2 linked regions of the Lytechinus pictus genome follow. The protein of the gene in region 2 purifies or fractionates together with the protein of the main gene of each other region. This does not show direct contact. Links are inferred from orthologs where the notes say so. Each region holds a gene or a part of one and is shown on either strand. Other genes may lie near its edges.

Evidence for each region.
Region 1: the proteins of brefeldin A-inhibited guanine nucleotide-exchange protein 3-like (region 2) and prohibitin-2-like purify together in Homo sapiens (affinity purification with western blotting; 4 studies listed by BioGRID). This does not show direct contact. The link is inferred for Lytechinus pictus from reciprocal best matches to the Homo sapiens genes ARFGEF3 and PHB2.

Annotation. Positions count from the first base shown.
Region 1 is NC_087258.1:12,808,740-12,819,346, forward strand, and holds the start of prohibitin-2-like, read right to left. Parts: upstream 4,488-10,607; 5' UTR 4,276-4,487; coding exon 4,149-4,275; intron 1-4,148. Other genes in the region: ubiquitin carboxyl-terminal hydrolase 5-like, read right to left, coding at 8,962-9,049, 9,717-9,801, 10,373-10,484.
Region 2 is NC_087248.1:3,905,677-3,917,019, reverse strand, and holds the start of brefeldin A-inhibited guanine nucleotide-exchange protein 3-like, read left to right. Parts: upstream 1-7,274; 5' UTR 7,275-7,378; intron 7,379-10,957; 5' UTR 10,958-11,058; coding exon 11,059-11,143; intron 11,144-11,343. Other genes in the region: uncharacterized protein LOC129259162, read right to left, coding at 199-496, 2,391-2,602, 3,826-3,847. UniProt on the Homo sapiens protein: Participates in the regulation of systemic glucose homeostasis, where it negatively regulates insulin granule biogenesis in pancreatic islet beta cells. Also regulates glucagon granule production in pancreatic alpha cells.

The sequences.
Region 1 (10,607 bases), on a different chromosome or scaffold from region 2:
GGGCACAATATAGACAAAAATCAGTCTATTTTGGTCAGGATATGCTATGCTGAGACTTTGTCTGGCATTGCGGCATCCTCTCCTTCCAAAGATCTAGACTGAAGTGCATTGCAGTGGCAGACATCATGCAATTATACACTAACACTGGCGCACATATCGCTACTTCTTTTCTACATACATGTAGATCTATATTTTATCTAGAGATCTGCATTAAAAACATGACAATGATCAACGAACCTGACATCAGCTCCCTGGAATAAACAAGTGGAATGCCTCTGGCCGTCTCACCTGCATCACGCGATTCAATATAGCAGCAGTGCTGATTTTGAAAACTACTATAACTCGCACAAGATGTTCAGTGATACTTGGTTACTCGTATTTCCACGTTTTATGAACTAGACCAATACACTTATGGAGATATGATGGCAATTCAACAAATACCCCCGACGTGGCCAAAGTTCTTTGACCTTACATGACCTTTGACCTTGATCATGTGACCTGAAACTTGCACAGGATGTTCAGTAATACTTGATTACTATTATGTCCAAGTTTCATGAATCAGATCCATAAACTTTCAAAGTTATGATGGTAATTCAACAGATACCCCCAATTCGGCCAAAGTTCATTGACCCTAAATGACCTTTGACCTTGGTCATGTGACGTGAAACTCATGCAGGATGTTCAGTGATACTTGATTAACCTTATGTATAAGTTTCATGAACTAGGTCCATATATTTTCTAAGTTATGATGACATTTCAAAAATTTAACCTTAGGTTAAGATTTTGATGTTGATTCCCCCAACATGGTCTAAGTTCATTGACCCTAAATGACCTTTGACCTTGGTCATGTGACATGAAACTCAGGCAGGATGTTCAGTAATACTTGATTAACCTTATGGCCAAGTTTCATGAACTAGGTCCATATACTTTCTAAGTTATGCTGTCATTTCAAAAACTTAACCTCAGGTTAAGATTTGGTGTTGACGCCGCCGCCGCCGTCGGAAAAGCGGCGCCTATAGTCTCACTCTGCTATGCAGGTGAGACAAAAATGTTGATTTTACATCACATATTTCGAGAAACCTGTAAGCTGATTGTTCTTAAATTTAAATAACATGTTTAATTTTTATATCGGCGCTTTTTTTCTCCCAGCCCCCAGGCACTAAAAGCAAGATTTTTTTAGAGAAATCACAGAGGGTGAGGTAGCGTACCCTTTTCCCGACATAGTTAAGCGTCAAGCGAACCTATGGGAGTCTTCTGTCTTTGTCATGTTGGACTTGGGAGGACTGAAAAAATCAGAAAATGTTAAGAAAAATTCCTCCGAAACAGCAGATATTTAAGTAATGTCAGTCTACACCACAGCCAGGTCTAGATGATATCCACAAGACTGAAAAATCTAACTTGATCTATGCTGCATGCAAGTGGCCTGCACTGGCCATCTGCCTGTGTGTGGCAGGCTATGTAGGATTGGAGCAGATTCTCAATGGTACAAACAATCTCACATGATAAACAGTTTTCCACCAAAAATAATCACAAAATCGTTGGGAAATTTTTACAATTATATTATGGCTTCTCAGATTACTGATTTGGTGATGTAATCAGAGGAGCAAGTTATTGAGTTTTCAGATCTTGTTGTTTCAGCTTTCGTTTTGAGTCTTGTTGTGATCGGTGCAAACTTGTAATGGGATGAGAGATGGCTGTGTGTGTGATGCCGCGATTGTTTCATCTCATTAAGTTTGACAATGTTACACTTTGAAATTTTATTCATTTCTAAAACATTTTAGTTTTCAAACAATTTTTAAATTTTTTTTTTTTTGCTTTGGTTGAAGTTTGAACTTTTTTCCTTTCTCTTTTTTTTTTTTTTTTTGTATCCTTAATTTTTTCTTCATCCTTCTATCCTTCCTGCTTGCCTATTTTGTTCAATCTATCTTTATTTCCAATCTTTCCTAGCAGCTAGCTTTTTATCCTAATAATTTCTCTATTATCTATATGTTCATTTTTCCTTCTTTTTTGAATTTCCTTTATTTAATTTCCTTCTTTCTTTTCTTAAACTTTTCTTTGCTTCCTTCTCACTTCCACTCCTTTTTCTTTTCATTTATTCTCTCCTTCCATTTTTTTTTCATTCTCTCCTCCCTTCATACTTTCATCCTTTTTAACCTTCAATTCTTTTCCCTCATCTTTCTTTTCCTTCGGCTCCTTTCCTGTTTGTCTTTTTTCTTTGTTTCTTTCAAAGAATGAAGTAAACGTTTTACTTTACTCATTTCTTCCTCCTTTTTTTCTTAGGCCTACTTTCTTTTTCCTTCATCAGTAGAGGTGCACGGCCAATATGGGAGACTGTCTCCCATGAGAGAGATTATCTCCAATATCAGAGACTTTTGTAAAGAATTTGGGTATCCAAAAGACCAATTTCAGAGACAGTCTCCAGTTTGGGAGACCAACTTTCTTTGTTTACATTTGCTGCAAAAGGGTTAGCTTGGCGGCAAATAAAACTGTGATGAGCAGATTCCTCATGAAAAATTACCCCTTTTCACCGTCTACTTTGAAAATTCAACATCTACTTTTGTTTTGGTAAGGATTTTTGTTGTCATCCACACACAAAACAAATGGGCTTCTGACCTCAGTGAGGCAAAATTTTGGGTGGAAAAAATTCCACTTTTGTTAATGTTGTTTCTTTTGTTCGTTTGCAAAGCAAGTCTCCAATTTGGGAGATTGATGGCATCACGGTCACGGCCTGCGCTGAGAGGCGCTAGGGCCTAGGGCTAGGCTGAGGCTCATCTCGGGGGGGGGGGGGGGGGGGGGTGAGGGTAGCCAGGACTCCCAAGAGGCTCCTAATGTTTTTTAGAGAGTAAAAATCATTCACTAATGTGTGCTTACTCTTCACGCACGGAGCCAGGGATTACGCCCCATTCATGTGCGTGTAATGGAGAGTCTCCCAAGTCCCATTGGCAGAGCGCCTAGTACTGTTCATGTCCCGGGGGGGGGGGGCCACTTCCATTGACGAGTGGATACCATGCGCAACCACATGGGGTCTCGAAAAGCACCCTAAACACGTAATTTCCATATTCTGAAAATGCACCCGTTAACAAGTATTGGCGTGTGAAACCCTACCCTTAACAAGTATTGGAAACAAAACGATACTCTTGGCAAGTATTCCCTGAATTGAACCCCTAGGCCCTAAACAAGTATAGCGATATTTAAATTATATGCCACGGACCTTTACCTATACATCATTGGGTTTAGTACAGCCCGGCCACCTCCTCACACCTCGTGCAAATCGTACTCTATAAACACATAGTGATGACTCCTTAATTTTGTTTTATCATCCCCGCAAATTTGACCCTAAACTGGGTCAAATTTGCGGGGATGATAAAACAAAATTAAAATGTTTTATAAAGGATGTCCTTTTTGCCCCAACACTACGTGTTTAGAGTCCGATTTGCACGAGGTGTGGAAGCTAGGGGTCGTACCCCGGGGGGGCCACTTACATCGACGAGTGGATACCATGCGCGACCAAAAAAACACGTAAACACGTAACTTTCCTAGCGAAATAGATACCCTTTTTTCATTATTTTAGTGTTTTTGACACCCTTATCACGTTACGTACGTAACGTGCCCTATCTTGAAAAAGACATCCTTTTCACGTTTTTTTGGTCGCGCATGGTATCCACTCGTCAATGTAAGTGCCCCCCCCCCCCCCCCGGGTTCATGTCCTTGGCTTTCTCTCCTTTTTTTTTTCTTTCAGTTTCACACATTCAAATACATGTATACATTCATTCATCTTGATCTTCCCTTCTTTTCTTTTTCTTTTTCTTTTTTATTCATTTCAAAGAATGACGGAAACCTTTTTCTTTCTTTTATTCTTTCATCTTTCTTTGTTTTATTCTAAAATTAAAATCTAAGTCTAACTTTCTTTTTTTTTATTTATTTTTCCCCCTTCATTTTCTTTCTTTTCCTCTCTGACTCTGTTGATCCACGCGTGCATCGTGCTTTATCGATTGCGCCGTATTTCATTTCGTAAAATCTGGTCACCCTGCATCAATATGATTGAAAGAATGTTGACTTGAAACAAGTCGAATCTAGAGTGCGAAACCAGTTTTAGACCCTAATTTAAAAAAAAAATTGAAAATAAAAATCGTGCACCGTCGATTCACCTGTGTAAACTGATTCCTTCACTCCATAACCTATTACTCCTGCCCCAATGAGGAATTGAACTCCTTTTCCAAGTCCTGCGGGTCCTTTAGCTAATCTTCCAAGCAAATCTCCAATTTTCTGGGCCATCTTTGCTGACCTTCGGTGACGCCGATGCACTGTGCTACTAGTGACTAGTCGCTGTAATTCAGTAATGCAGTCCCACCCGCTATGTTTTGTGTTGTGTTACGATATTACTGGCATAACACACACATGGCTTTATTCATAGTCACGTAACCGCTCATAGTAATTCACGCATGCGCAATCTGGTAGGTAGACTTTATTTGCAAACTTTTTTCGATGTGTAAGAAAGAAATTAATTTCAAACACATACAAAAAGTAAAATAAGAGAAGCTACGGGAAAAAAACATGTAAATATAATTTCAATATTTCAGTAAATCTTATCAATGTAACTTTGATTGTATGGTTATCTTGTATCAATAATTCATTCACCCCAAAATTAGAAATTGGTATTACAAAATAGACTGTTACATAGATTGGCTGTGTATACTCCGCGTTTGCTTCTTTATATTTCATCATACCCCCTTCTTTTTCATCATTGCATAGGCCAAGACATGGAACCTACCCCTACCGGGGGTTACACTTTTCATTATATATAATATGTTTGATCGCTTCATGCCCGCCATCGAAACTGACTCCAGACAGACGATATAATAAGTTTTTCAGACGAGTAATAATAATTTTCACTTAAAAATTTTGAAATAACAAATTATATAACTTTAATTGTTGGGTCGATCTGCAGTCAGTACAGACTCAGACATTATCAAGCCTACTTATTAATCAGAGTTTCAGACTTGCGTTTTTGTTTGGCATATCTACCGTAGTCTATCTGATAATAGAAATGCTAGGATAACTTTATAGAGCCAATAGCTGGAAGAAAGAAAAAAACAATTAACTAACTCATTAATAAGATATAGAAAGTTCATATAAACATTTTTTTTTCTTTTCTCATCCGAGTATTTTTCCATCCCATCCCCTTCCTTCTCCTCTCTGCACCCATCCTCGTACTTCAACACTACCTCTCTATTTCTCTGCCTCTATCTCTCTCACTCTGTCTCTATCCCTCCCTCCTTGTCCCTGACCCTCTCCCCTGCCCCCCCCCCCCCTCCCTCCCATATCCCCCCTCCTCTTTCCCCTCACCTCTCTATATTTCTCTTAAAAAATATTTCACTCTTCCAATAGACCAGTTCGTAGTTACTTCACCATGGACAATTTTGGTCAAATGACCTTTCATTTCTTTCATTATGATAGGCAGATTTCAAAGCAAGATATTACGTAAGCTTGCCTTACATAGCAGGATGAAGAAATTGAACAGACCAGGTGACTAGAATAGCAGACCAATGAACACTTTATGAAGGTATTTGTTGCATTCCTACTTGAATGCAAATCATAGCATGTTGCACAATGTACTTGGCAAACTGAAATACCAGTCGTTCGTGGACGCATTGTTGTTTTTTGTGGATGTAAATGAAAAAAAAACAATTCAAAAGAATATATGAATAATCAAGACATCAAAGTTGGTGCTTATCTCATTAGATTTTAAACCACAATGTCACTTTAATTAGTACAAATGACCTTCCTCTGATCATGCATAGAATCTTTTGATCATGCGCAGAAAGGAACTACGAACTGGCTTATTCTTGCCTCTCTCACCTCTTTCCCAGTATAACTAGTTGCTTAGAAATCAAATACACAAGGAGATTTAAAACATGACGTGTACTGCATTTAATGCATGAAAATTAGAAATATACAAAATCCAAGCAACAATATTCCCAATGTATTCCACATACACATACATGTAACAATTTAATAAAACATTTGTTTGTATACATATCCTCTAACATACACATTGCAATCTTGTTAAATATTGTTGTTTGAAATACCCAATGAAACAACTTCTTTAATATGTTCATCCGGTGTGTCGGCTCGGTTGGTAGAGCGTCCGTCTCACAACCGGTAGGTTGGGGTTCAAACTCCGGCCGCGTCAGACCAAAAGACGTTAAAAGATGGGAGTTGCTGCTATCCTGTTTGGCGTTAAATGATTAAAGGGATAGAGCCTCGTCGATCTGGCGCTGCCCAGTGGCTGCCGGGCCCACGATCGATTGGGCAAAGCAAATTTTCGGAGTATTTCATTTCATGTCTATTTCGAACAATAAACGATTGATTTTTATCATTTTTTTTTCATCATCAGCTAGGTCTACAATACAATTTTCTCCATGCTTTCTGGGAAAATCTACAAGAGAAAAACATTCAAATTATTCAGGGAGAAATATTCTTGTCATTTTGGCTTGTGAAAATAGAAAAAGTACATATTCAGCCCCTTTCACAATTGGTGGTGCGACTGCTTATAACCGTTGCTATTCTGTGCAACATATATTGTGACCATTGCACAAGCAATTGTGAAAGCCCTTTTAGTGATAGATGGACATCTCTCAAAACAATCACTTTTCTGGTTTATGCCTGTATGGTAAATTTTATTTTGTTTAAATGGAAAGGTCTGTTCAAATATCAAGATGAAGAAACAAAATCAGCTGTGAGTGGAAAATTCCTTCGTCAATAATCAAGACATGCTAAACTTATTTTCATTATCTTTGGACATTTCTAACTGCCTGGAAGAAACATTGGCGTCGTCATCATCATCTGACATCAGAATCACCATCATCATTCATCACCATTATCATTACTAAAAGGAGCATGTAGACTGTCAAAAATCGTTCAGCAAACATCATCACCCCAGAGCAACTGTTTGATCAAAAGAAGACATTACTGACAGCAACACTGGTCTTCTTGAGATGGACTAAAATCAATCACAATTTATCATGGACAGAGAGTAAGTGTGACTTATACGGGGGGCACTTTGTAACCAACTAGGAGTTCTTAAATTGACAAAATTTGTTGCAAAATACCTACCAACAAAATATTATCTGTAATCTTCTTCATTAGACATCTTGGATACATCCCTTCGACTACTAGTATATGAATCAGATAACCTTGCATAAGTTAACCTTCTTGGCGTCAAATATTTGCCCAATTTAAAACAATTTTTTTTACCACATTATATGTGCAAAATATGTATCAAATACCGATTCTTAGCAAATTTCTCCAAAGTTGAACAGATTTTTGAGCTCTCAAAAGTTTTGATTGACTAAAGCAAAATTACTCGTACATGTATTAGATACAGTTGTGCCTAAAGGTTAGTGAACCCCACCACAAAATGCACTCCTTCATGCTGAGTGTTGAATGTAGGCAACAACACTACAACGTTCAGCAAGCCCAGAGAAACAAATTTTGATTGAATGTAATATTTCATCACTTGACTTCACAATAAAATATCTGAAACATGGTAAACTTGAACACTTTCAATATGTTCATTTTCTACTAGGGTTCACTAACTTTTGAGCACCAATGTATATCTTCCCCTATTTACTACAGTTACCTATTATTTTAAATTGCTCACTAGAGGGCTTTGTCAGTTTTTAACAATCATACTGTTGCATGAATTATACCTCCACACATCCTGTGAGGGAAGGGCAGCTCTTTTAAATACTTTCAGTTGACGTTGTTCATCTCAAAGAGTATTATTTGTTCCTCATTTGTAAATAGAACATTGTTTTTTATATGTATATATTCAGTTCAAAGTCATTTTTTTCTCATAAATATTTCATATTGATCACAAAGTTATACAACTCTCACATTTTCAATAATATATCTCTTCTTCTGAAGAGGTATATTAATATTATTTCAGTTGCAAATTCACATTTGATAGATCAATCATAACCAAAGCAAATTAATTCATTTTGTTTATGCAAGATGCAGACCACCAATCAATTGCCAATTTGCAATTAATTAAAAGACAACTGATCGATTTTAGGACCTATAATTGACATGCAATCATTTGCAAGTTTCTTCCAACACCCTAGAAGTTGCATTTCTACAAAATTGAACAAATTTCCATCATCCCAAAAGATATTTCACTTTTTCTTTCATGTTTACTTCAGGGCCAAATTCCATGCATGAACACTCATCCTATTAAACCCTCGTTCAGATATGATGCAAGAATGCGCAGCAATGTTTTCCATTGTGCTAAAATATTTTGAAACTGCATACTTAATGGTACATGTAAAACATGACGCCAGTGGAGGCGCCATCATGTGTCGTGGATCTGGCGATACGTCAGGCAATACATGATAATACATTGACATCAGTGTATTCTGAAAGAAGCATGTTTTTTTTCTCACAGGATATCTAATTTTCATCCATTGCATCTTTTTGCTACTTGAGGTGGTGATTCATGAAGATGTTCTTATAAAATTTATGCACGATTTTACAAAGGACTAGAACATGTTCTCAGGTACTAAGTCAGCTCCATTTAGTACAAGGAAGGGTCATCCATCATGTGTAAAGTCATTCGTAAGTTACAAACTGCTTTATGAAACACCCATCTGAGCAGTTTATTTTGAATCTCACGTAGCTAAAATTTCTTCCTAGTCGAAGCTATTTCTGTAAGTAATATTGATTTGTGTTAGGCATAGTTTACTGTTTGTTCTCCGTCAGTCCATGAATATGGTCTACCCTGACTTGTTTTACTGATCACAATGCGCCTCTGAGCTCTGGGCCTGTGACATAAAGCTTTACAACTGATTATGAGGCTGATTTTTTTACGATTGCTCATACACAGAAGTCAATGCAATCGATCATAGAAATCGTTCACATGATCAATCGCTAAGGTTCATGTTACACGGCCCTGGGAGATTTTTAAAGCCTCTTGTAGACGTAGATGTATCCCAGGTCCTTCGGTGGTTTTTCTGATTGCGCAACTTTGTCATCGTTGAAGATCACCCATCTGGAAAATAGAAAAGAAAATTAAGGAATTACGTGATATAAAGAAAATGGTTCCATTATTTCAAAAGCATAGAAATGTGAAATGGAGACGTGCTTATGGGGGCATCTCATCCATGTAACATAGTTGAGCTAAATGACAGCTTGCTCTTATGACACTGTGTAACACATTATATGTTTGCCCGATTTTATGCATATCGCTATCTCCTAAAATAATGCAAAATTATATAATACCATAACTTTGATATCACACATTTGATTTCAATGTTTTCATCTTCAGCTTTCTCTATATATTTTTCTGAATTCAGGTAAAATACACATAAGACAGCAAATCAACATAAAAGAGAACACCAAATGAACATAAAGTTTTTTAAACAAATGAAAAAATGGAAATACAAAACAAGTAAAGATTGAAATGAATAGGACATAGTTTTTTTTAAATATCTTTAAAAAATTGGCAACTTAGCTACCTTAATTCTCTGCTTTTATGTACAGTATCTTGCTTTGGTCAATCATAATGAAGATAGAGAAAAGTGTGACTCTTTATTGTACCAACATCCGTGAATATGAAATAAGGATGCTATAATAATCAATTTGAACATAATTTTCATCAGCAAACTCTCTACACATTTTGTTTTGTCATGGAAAAATGATTAGAAGGACTACCTTACCTTCCTTCTTTCTTGATATGGCATACATAGTGACCGCATGCTGTAGATGTACCCATGTGACTTACAAATGCAAACAGCTGGTATTCTGTCATATAAAAAAAGAACAATGCAATAGATTTTCCCACCTCCAAACTGAACTGATATATCATGCAACCGTGATAAGCTGCCATAACTATCCCCCTTTAGAGTATAGAACACTGGAAAATAGAAAGGAATATTAATTTCTGAAGTGGAAATAAGACATTTCTTCCTCCTCTGCTTTTTTTATAACTCCCTTTATCCTCCCCCTCCTCTCCTGTACAATTTTCCTTTCCCTTTCCCTTTCCCTCTTCCTCCCTCCTCCCATCCCATCTTCCCTTCCATTATCCCTTCCCTTACTCCTCCTCTTTTCTTCTCCTACATGCATTTATTGTATCTGTTATTTGGTTCCTCTTACTTGATCTATTTCTCCTCTTCCTTCTTTTCCTCTTTCCATCCTTCCTCCTCCTCCTCCTCTTCCTCCTCCTTTTCTTCTCCTACATCTATTATCCATTTGTTATCTTCCTCCTCTTCATCCTACTCTTCCTCTTCCTATTCTATTCCATTCCTTCATTTCACTTCCATCTCCTCTTCCTTCCGATTTTATCCTCCTTTTGAGCACCCGAAAGCTCACTTACTTTCGCGACCATCCCGGCACGTGGGTCCGCCGGATTGCTCTGTCTCCATCGCTGTATCCAGCTCGTCTGCGTGGCTAAATATCCACTCCGCTGCCCTCTCAAGATTGTTGTCCTAAAGGGATGGCAGAATAGTAGGAAAACATCAGTAAAGACAAACGCATGTATCGATCATGGTGAGCCAAGTGTGATCATTACCTCTTTCCTTCCATCAATCTATCTGTATCCTCAGGATAAA
Region 2 (11,343 bases):
TTAGTCAGGCATCAGTGGACAAGCTGGTTTAATGCAGGCATACAACAGTTAATAACCTATAATCCTAAAATATAAAAATTAACCCTTTTAAGTTTCAAAAGAGTGCTGAGAACTAAGCACTGTAAACAAAGTAAGAAAGACCTCCCCATCACATTAAGTGTTTTCCTTGCTGACGACCGGTGGCCACACAATATTCACCTTTGTTTTCAAGAAACGGAGCACTGGCCTTCAGTGCATCCTGAACCTCCTGGATCCTCTGTGCTCCATTCTGTGCACCATCACCTTGAGGTTTGATGAGTGGAATATCTTCAAGACCTTCACCTGATACAGCAGTCTGGGCCTTGTTTGATGGCTCTACGAGAGGGCGCTGTTTAGAAGTTTGTGAAGAAGCTTTTCCAGATGATTTGGGTGCGGAACCAAAGAGAAATCCTTTCTTCAGGCCTCCAAAGGACTTGGCTTTAGAGGAAGCTGGTTTGTTGGTCTGAGATGGTGTCTTCTGTAGAGATGGAAGAGTGAAACACATGTAAATACGAGAGTCTCATCTCTTTTGGAATTCTCTAAAATCACAAGGATAGTTTTATGAAACATTCACAATTATAGTTATTGTACACAATAAAATTCCATGCAAACTGCATATATTTTTGCTGTAAAAGTACATGAACATATTTCCATAAAGTTTTCCTGTCAATGTTGCTTCTAAATACTGTTTATAATTCCTCTTTGCAATCTCCATTACTATATGTGCATGTAGCATGTAAGTTTGATCAATATTGATTTTGATTTTATTCTGAACGACAAATTACCAGGGTTTTCAGTGAATTTCAAAATACATGCACGCAAGTAGTGCTCTTATTGTGACATCATTCCTTCGTATAAATCCTGAGAATGGTTAACAGCATAACCACATTAATAACCGTATCTCTTTTAAAGTGATTGGCAAACTTCATTTAAACTTTAAACAGTACAAATTCCTGGGATCTCATTTGTACTTCAAAGATTAATACATGATCTTCTTAACTGCGCTTGGGATTCATAAATCTTTAATTCTTCAATTCTCACACACAGAGCACATTATCTTGTTAAAAGTCGTCTATCTACAAGAGAATAGGCCTCTCATGATAATGAACATGGGTAGCACAAGTGTGAAACACAAGAATCTGATGAATTCAGAATCCTGATGGTTGTCTGCATGCATAGACCATAAGTGGATTGTTAATCAACAAGTGTAACTTGAGAGAAGTTTAGCACATCAATTTTCCTCCAGGGGCCCGTTTCTCAACACCTGGACAAGTTAGTCATATCTTTATCCACCAACCACGGAGATAGTTCCAATCTTACTAAACCTGTTTCTCGAAAGGCTTCCTAACTAGAATACCTTGATATCGATACTATCGGTAAAAAGAGCAGACGAGACGTAGCCTTAGTCATAAAATAGCATAATATTAAAAAAGAAAAATTATGACAAATTTGCAAATATTGTGATGAATTGGGAAATACATCTTTTTAAAATAATGGCACATGCAAATTATGCATCATACATACTTAGACCATGAATATTGGAGCACTCAATTGCTGAGAAAATTAAATTATGAATAAATCACTTCATGACTAGAAAATCACATGTGGACGTTGAGATGGGTACCCCCGGGACATCGAATTTTGATAGTTTACGAAAGTAAACTATAACGGTTTTCTTTGTAAAATGATGATAATTATACGCCCTTCTACGATTCCAAACATCATCAAAATATAGTTTAACAAAAACAAAAATAAATCTTTGAAACTGAAACATACGATTGACATATTCTATGCATGAATTAGAGATATAATTTATCCAAATGTTAATAGGGGTCTGAAAATGACAAATACGAGTCCAGTTATGGATGGCCTGACGTTGTAGAATCTTTATCGATCAAATCATTTTACTATTTCAAACTGAATGGTTTTGTGGCGTTTTACAAACAGTTTTTATAGTTTGTTTTTATTAGAATTATCATTGAATGCATTATTCCACTCGTTTTTGTGATGTAATTTCATACTCTATGATTGATTACCTAAGACTATTATTTTCAAATCTCTAGGCACTTTTGCTTGTCATAGTCTACCCACGTGATGCCACTACGTCATTAAGAAAGAAGTTATGACAGGTTCGGAGGTGTCATAAATATTTAGTGAGGTTGTTGTACCCGATCTTGGTAAAGAGGGCTTCGTGAAACGGTTAGCGGACAAGTAGCTCACTATCTCCGATTTAGTCAAGAAGTTAGACTTATGACGGTGTTGAGAAACGGGCCCCAGAAGTCTGATAATTCACACCACTAAGTGTTCCAACAAGGAAGAGATTTACTTCTGCAAACTACCCCAATGGCATGACACTGAAAAATTATACGTACATGTACCTCAGTCTCTGTTTCCTGTTTTGTAGCTTCCTGTTTTACCCTCTGGCTCTGGGGTTTTTCTTCAACTTTTGGAGAACCATGGACTGATGATGATTTAAATGAAGATGATGATGATGAAGATGAAGCCATGCCCTTTTTATCCTTCATTTTCTGTAGTTGATGAGCTTGTTCCAGAAGGTCACTCATGTCCTCTAAAGGAGGTACCTCTGCATGAAATTTGAAAAAAAAGTTTGTGTGATGAGGTTAATTAGTACAGACCCAGTTTATAATTTGGGGTTTTAAAATAAGAAAATCCATTTATTAGGACAAAAAAACTCTTCGCAGTTCATGGGTTCCGTAACACAAAGGTTAGCAATTAATTGTATGCTTGATTTTGACGACTCATTGTACATAACAGATCATAGATAGATGGTTTATTTGAATCAAAAACATATAAACAATAAGTGTACGAATCTCCATGCGTCGTAGTTTGACAACTAAATTGTGCATTGGATTACAAAAGTATTTTTACATGGTAAACTTTCACATACTATTAATAATGAAACTTAGTATAAGGCAACATTTAACAGTGAGATAAATTAATTCAAATTAAAAAAAGGGATAATAGAGAAGAGAATGAAAATGGAAAAGAAGGAGGATTATAATAAATCGATTAACTTAACATTTACATATGAAATATGTAGCGATAAACAAGTTAGAACATGTCAAGTTCAACCCTGAAAATAATATTTGCATACAGGTATGTGGTTATTGTGAACTAAATAAGCCGATATGAGGTAAAGTTTTGAAAGTGAGTAGGCTATCATGTAAACAAGGTGAAATAATCCTGATTAAAATACAAACTACCATTTCACATCATGCCAGTGGATTGTACATAGTAAACAAAAATAGAAGAGCGGCAAGTTTTAGTCGCAAAATTTGTATTATTACATGTTGAAGTATTACATCATTGCATTTTCAATTTCGAATAAATAATATTATTACAAATGAATTATTACATTATAAAATTACAAAATATTATATCAAAATTTTGTAAACTTATTACAATTATAAAATGTATTCATAATTTCAAATTGAGTAACAAAAACACATTACCAATATTATCAAATCCCGATCGTCAGTCATCAGGTTTGAGTTTATCCTCTATTAACATAGGGTTCAAATAGAATTCAATAATTTTGTCGTGAATGGAATGGGGCTGTTTTTATATCGATTAGTACGGCACCTCGGCTCAACATAATGGTGCGTTTGTCTCAGATTTCGTGTAGGCCTGTCTTCAGTGAACCAGGCATTACCTAGGCCTACTTCAGTTCTAGATGCTTTGATTGAAAAGTTATTTCTCAGACTCAGAGACCTATATAAAGCCAAGGGGATTACTATTTACTGGCACAAAACTGCTCCTAATATAAAAAAATAATACATAACATACCTTCAGCATTGAATTCCTCCATTGTTTTGTTTCAGAGACAGAGTGTCGTGGGCGTGGGTATGTTGACTTCTGTCTTTGACTTTGAAATGAAGTCTCGAGTCTCAGTCTATGATCTTCTTGGCAACACCATCAACAAAACTTCAAAAGGCACAATCACAAGAAGATAAATATGATGAATCTAAAGTGTTTTATACAACACATGTATAGATCCTTGACAGCTGATTGGATGAAAGCGTGTCACATGACATTCAGACGAATCAGCTATAGCACGCTAAGATATGCTAGCCGTGCTATAGTCGACTTTTGCACGCTCGTGCTATAGTCGACTATAGCACGCTGAAGTATTTAAAATGAGCCAGCACTGCAAGATCCCTGGGCACACTGAACCCATGGACATGCCCCGTACACGTTAAGTGAATTAGCGGTATACGCGCGTAATCACGTTTTCGTATCTCTGACCGATGTACGTAGCACTGCGCATAAACGTTGCTAAGCTGAACACAATGCGCGTACGTACGTTGCTAAGCAAATTATTCCCAGGGTACGACTGCGTACCTTCTGGATTTCCTTCTGGATTTTATGGAATTCGTTCACAAATTTGACCTCATGGATCTATCTATGTTGAAAGTACTTGACTCTCCTGGGATTATTAGTTTAAATCTACTGACTCCCAAAAAACAACATTGTAAGCAAAATTAAAGACCTAACGCGCGTTAGTCATAAACTAGACCTATGGATCTAGCCTATCTAGTCTGAAGTGTAAGCTATCGGTGTTGTATAAAACAAATATTCAATGTTGTATTCGTGCGACGTTCCGAATATTACATTCGTTGCAAGTTGAAACAGTCTATTCAACTCCGCTTCGCGTCGTTGAATAGACTGTTTCAACTTGCACACTCATGCAATATTCGGAACGATCGCACTCATCAACTTTGAATATTTGTATAATAACTAGTAGTTGAATGATAGATCCAAATAGGCAATAGAAGTAAGAATAGGCATGATAGGAATGATAGGACAGCTCGACAGGACAAACATGAAACAATTCAAAAGTCAAGATTATTTAATTATAGGGGCCTAGAATTTCAAAAATTTCACAACACAATGTGCTTGTGACGCTGACGAGTTTATTCAAATAAATAAGATAGTGAATTATCTAATAACTCGGTAGAAATTGGGGGCGACTTACATGGTGTAGCTAATTGTGCCGGACGTCATGTACTGTGCGCTGCAAGCTCCAGCGGAATTCGTAGTGCGCGTCGCGCCAGCCGCCGCCCGGTCGGCCGGCTTCGACTCGCGCTCCAGCTTGCTTGGGTATATACGGTAAAGGCTGGGTCCACGACGCTGGTGCCAGTCATGGCAACGTAACTCCTCCCTCTTTTATTTCGGGGAACTCCCCGCTCTGCTCAGTTTGGAAGGAAGAGTGGATGGAGGGTGGAGGGTGGGGTGGTCGTAGCGGATCCGGTAGTGGGTCGGCAATATAGTCATGGCAGTAGGCCTACCTCTTTTGCCTATCAGATCTTTTTATTTCATTTTTTTAATTATCAGTATTTTTTTTGGTAAACCATTTTTTTTTTACTCTGCATTCAATCTCCGGGGGAGGGTCATTAAAAAGGGGCTTATCCAGGGTCGAAATGGGCCTTAACATTAGCATGTTATTATTTTTTCAATGACCAATTTGTCTCTATACAGTGAGAAACTTTAGAGGTGCGACTTATTTAAATGACAAGTCCACCCTAACGGGACCCTAACAAAAGTTGTTTTAAATTGAAAGATGAAAATCCAACCAGTACAACACTGAAAATTGTATCAAATGGAGTAAAAGAAGTGACGTTTTAAAGTTCGGTATTGATGACATCGCTAACTGACTATTTCTTTTGTATTTCGAATGAAATGTGAAATATTTCAAATTCTCCTCGTTGTCATGTGAAACAAAAGTTTTATTCGTCCCTGAACATGTGTAATCACCAATGTTTTAACAATTTGTGGATCTTTCAAGTTTGTCATTATTGCCAAAGAAAAAAGGAATACAAAATTGTGCAATTCAAACAATAAAAAATAGGGAGGGAGGCCATCATCGACTCTCTCATTTTCACATCACTAAGTTATGGGTGTAGGCCTATATTACAACTGGTTTTTTTTAATAAGCGAAACTTCATATGGCATAATCCTCATGGCTGAATTTAATTCGGCATAATGACTATGCTTGTTTGATTATTCTCTATTGATTCAAATCAATTAACACTTTTATGAAATGGACTTAACCTTTAAGAATGCAAAAGAATTCTGGACCCAGACTCCATGCAGGTCTAAACAAGTAGCGGATCCAGGGGCGCCATTTTTACACAAGTGTGCCCCCCCCCCTTATTTGGAAGTCGGGGAACCCTTTTTTGGGGGGTGTTATCAAATTCTGGACGAAAAGCCCTTCAATTTTAGGTGAAAAACCTTTTTTTTTTTCTTGCGGATCAAATGACATTTATTTTTAGATGAAAACCTTTTAGGGATCCGTCCCTGGTCTTAACTATAATGCTTTCAGGGATTCGGACGCCCGACCCCCTCTGACCCTCCCACCTTTGAGAGTCATAGTCAAATGTTATTTTTTAATGTAAATACGCTGTTCTTACGCAAGTGTGCTCCCCCTTTCAAAGTTACAACAAATATAACTGAAGACCTTTTTGTTACGTGAACAAAATGATCTTCAGTTTTTAGTGAAACCTTCTTTTTTTCTTTTCTATTTTTTTTACTTGTCAAATTTTCCTCGGGAAAATTTACCCCCCCCCCCCCCTCCTTGGGAAATCCTGGATCCGACCCTGCAACGGTCATACTCACTCGATCTCCTTACACATCGACGGTATCAGTGCTCACCAAAAATTGGTCGAGGTGGGAAGTAGGGTAATGAGCCAAATTTAGGAGGTCAAACCCAAACTCGTGGAGGCCCTACTGAGACAAAACTGAAAAAAATTCACGAGCGAGGGAGCAAAAACATGATTTTGTGCTAATTTTGTGATAGATTTTGACAGTAGGGGCCTATATAATCCTTCACTATAGGACCTAGCTTAATGGGAGGTTTCCTTTTCATTCTCCCCTCATTTATAGGGGTCGTGCGCGAGGTTTTATATCCCCTTCTGTAAGCCACTATTGTGAAAGGGGACAGTTTCGTGGGTCTGTTGCCCCCATGCAAATTGCCCCCTCCCCTAAAAATAAATAAATTGATCTAAAAAAATAATATATAAAAATGTGTTTATATGTGCAAAGAGATTCATGTGGCTGTATATTTTTCAATTATGATGATATAGAATAAACTGATTCATATATGTTATTCTTACTATAAGTAGGCCATATATAGGCCCTATTTCATGAACGCCGGTGTCACTACAATAATGGATTCGCATGCATTGCAATTTTCAGCGCCAAGCAAGCGAGCGATCCGAGCGAGCTAGATCGCCTATATTGAATTCGTGGATTCAAGCCTGAGGAAAACTGGAAAACGTGAACAGCTGTTGGATTATGCGTTCATTGTACCGCTGCTAAGGCTGCTATTTTGATCTTAAAGGTAAAATTATTCGATTCAGGAATTCGAATTAATATGCGTATGATTGCTCACTTAAATTTTGTAGTTTGTTCGACAATTTATGGCATTTATCATGAGTGCAAAATAATTGTCAAGAAAACTCAGTCCCACATGCGTAAATTTGTGTTGTCTCCTTCTGGCAGTTCTGCCATTCTTCTGCCTAGCCTGCGGCTGCGCTGGTGATGTATACTAATACTAACCTCGCAATACGTGTGTGAGTGCTGGTGATGAGACAATGATGATGTCTTTTTAATGATAATGGTTGATGGCAGTAATCCTTATATAAATGGTGATGAATATGATGGAAATGATGATTATGTGGTGATGATGAATATGATGGTCACGTGCACTCACACGTATTGCGAGGTTAGTATTAGTATACTAACCTCGCACCACGAACCGCGTTTGGCAGTGGATTTCTAACTAGTGGGTCGCGCGTGCTGGGATCTCACTTCTTGGGTCCACAACACACGACTTCTATGGCTTGATTTTTCTGTGCGCGGCGGCATGTAATGAACCCTTGGGTGGGTCACGTGATGACGATGGTGGTAATGCTAATGATGATCATGATGACGATGGTGATGATGAAATTGATGATATGGTGATGATGGTGGTGATGGTGGTGATGATGATGATGATGATTGATGATATATAACAATTTTTAACATGTTGATAATGACTATGAATATGCTGGAGATGAATGATGATGATGGTTGGTGGCAGTAATCCTTATAAATGGTGATGAATATGATGGAAATTATGATAATGAAGATGATGGTGATGGTTGTGATGATGATGATGGGCAGTTCCAGGGTTACGGAGTGACATTCAGAAACAAGTTTTTAGCATTCAAACAAAGATATCACCCATATTTAAATATTTATTTGCAAAGAAATGGTACCTGACAGTAGTTGCTGAAACCCACTTTTCAAAATAATAACATATTTTGATCCACTGAATTAAATGAGATATGAATATTCATAATCATGGTTACGGAGTGACGGAAAATGGACATGCATATTTGAGGAGAAAAATATATTGATCAAACGCTGTGAACTTTAAATGGCTATCACAATGTTGAGTTATTGATTGGATTCTATGTTCTAGCTTTAATATGCTGCATTACATTAAAAAATTTGTGTATTTTTTCATTAATTACAACTTAAAACATAAACCCCATACCCGGTTACGGAGTGACATCTGAAATATTCACACACAGGCAACGTAAAATGAACTTATATTTAGAAATTTTCTTTTGATATGATGTAAAAATGATTACCTTCAGATTATCGAAAAGAAAATTTTACAAAACAAGCAATAGTTTTCTGTTAAATTGAAATTAAGTAAAAAACAATATATGTAGTCCCATGTATAGAATTTTTTTGTATGGTTTGGACTTTGGATTCTCCTATAAGGAGATGCATAAGAAAAAAAAATTGTGGCTAATTATGTTCCCCTTCTGTATTTATGAAATCCCATATGAGTTTTAATAGAAAAGTTTGCTCCAGATTTAAAATAGAGCCAATATAAATTTTTGGAAAATGTCCAGTTTTGCTTGGAATTGCCCTGATGATGATGATGATGATAGATTGTGAATGGTGATTATGATGATGATATATATCATGAATCTAGTGATGGAAATTGTGATGATACTTTGTCTTTAAACATAAGGAAATTAAACATTTTTAATGCTTAGTATTATATTTCCAGTTTATCTATTTGTATTGTTTAAGACTTAATTTTTAGCTTACACTGTACATACTGTGTTTCTATCAGAGCTTGATACATCAAATTTCAAAAGCAGTATGCAAGTACATACATGTACATGTGTCCAGCATTGAAAATACACAGGAGCGAGTTCTAATTCCAAAATTTTTATCATAACTTTAAATAAACAGAGCCAATAAGATTTTGGAAAATATTCACTTTGCTTGGAATTGCCATCTACACAGATCTACTTTTTGACCAAGTTTATTTTTCTTTGTGATTATTAAGTATTTTACGGCTATCTAATGTGCCCAATAATCCTAAAATTGGCAACATAGAGCGTAGCATGGTAGCAGAGGTATAAAATTTCTACAGATTGGAAATATAAAACCTTCAAATAAAAAGTCAAATCACCCCAGAAAAATGTTGATTTGAATCAATAGAGAAAACTCAAACGAGCATAACGCTGAAAATTTCATAAAAATCGGATGAAAATGAGAAAGTTATGATATCTTAAAATTAGGCTATGATTATTTTTCACCAAACAGTTGCATTGTATACACAACTCAATGCGATGCAAACGACAGAGTCGATGATGTCCCTTACTATTTTTTTTTATTGTGGTATATAATATTACAATTTTTACAGATTTGACAATAAGGACCAACTTAAATGAACTACAAAATATTAAAACAAAGGTAATTCTACATGTTTATCAAGGACATCTTTGTTTGACATGACAATTGGGAGAAAATTAAAAATATAATTTTTCATATGATGATATACATGTAGTTGGTGATGTCATCAGTCCCCCCATTTGCGTACCGACCAAGATGTGCATAACTGTTTGGTGAAATTAATAAAAACTTTACAATGATGTCATAAATTTCTTATTTTTCATCCAATTTTGATGAAATATTCAGTGTTATGCCTCTGATTTTTATCCTTTTGGATTTGTCTTTTAAAGGGATGGTCCAGTCTGGATATATTCATATCTCAATAAATAAGAGTAAAATTTACAGAGCAAAATGCTTAAAATTTGATCAAAATCGGATAACAAATATAAAAGTTATTGAATTTTAAAGAGTTGCATTATTCCGGTGAAACAGTTCTAGGTATGTCTTTATGAATATTCATTAGGTGTGCTGATGATGTCATATCCCCACTTGTTCTTTTGTATTTTATATTAAGTTTATTTAAAAAAATCTACCCCCCAAAAAAAAAGCCTAATTGGATTGACAACTGATTAAGTGCATTAGTTATTTATTGCCCCAACTTATTTCATCATAATGGAACACATCATTTACACATTATGAAAAAATGAAACATTTATGATTTCATGTAATAACATATAAAAAAGGGAAAGTGGGGATGTGACATCATCAGCCCACCTAATGAATATTCATGACGATGTGCATATAACTGTTTTCACAAAATATTGATAAACTTTAAAATTCAAGAACTACGTTATTTTTTATCTGATTTTGATGAAATTTTCAGCATTTTGCTCTGAATTTTACTCTACCGGTATTTATTTACATGTAGATTTTGAAGAAATTTTCAGCATTTTGCTCTGTGAATTTTACTTTATTTATTTACATGTAGATATAAATATTTTCAGCCCGGACCATCCCTTTTAAAGTGTAAAGACATGCCATATTTGTCATTATTTACTGCAAACTTGCAAAATGTTTTGCTTTAATACTTTAATTTTGCTTTAATATTTTGAGGAAGTTCATTATGAGTGTCAAACTGCAATTTGTACAATGCTCTTCAGTTGCAGTTCTAAAATAATTTTGGTAGTCCTGAAATCTTACTAAGTCTTGCATAATTCTGCTTTTGTACATTCTGAAGCTTTCCTTGGAAAGACGATAATGAAATGAGTTACCAGTAGTCTGTCCTCAAGTACCCAAAGATCTGTTGACCTGACCTGACCCGACCTCACTGACCTGATCATGGAGGGGTTGTTTGGACAGATCCTTAAGGAGGCAACATCAAACAAGCATGCAGCTATACGAGAGGCCGTCAGCCAAGCACAAGGTATAGCATTGTCCTAGATACATTGATAAGTATTCTCAATATTATTTGTATACATTGTTATTCATTAATTTTTTTTTGCCTATGAATGTCTGGCTACAAAGAGCCAAGTGTGCTTTTCAATCATATTTTAAAATCAATTAAAACCTTCAAAGAAGATACATTTGACTATCAATTAGTGCTTCATACATGTATATCCTGGT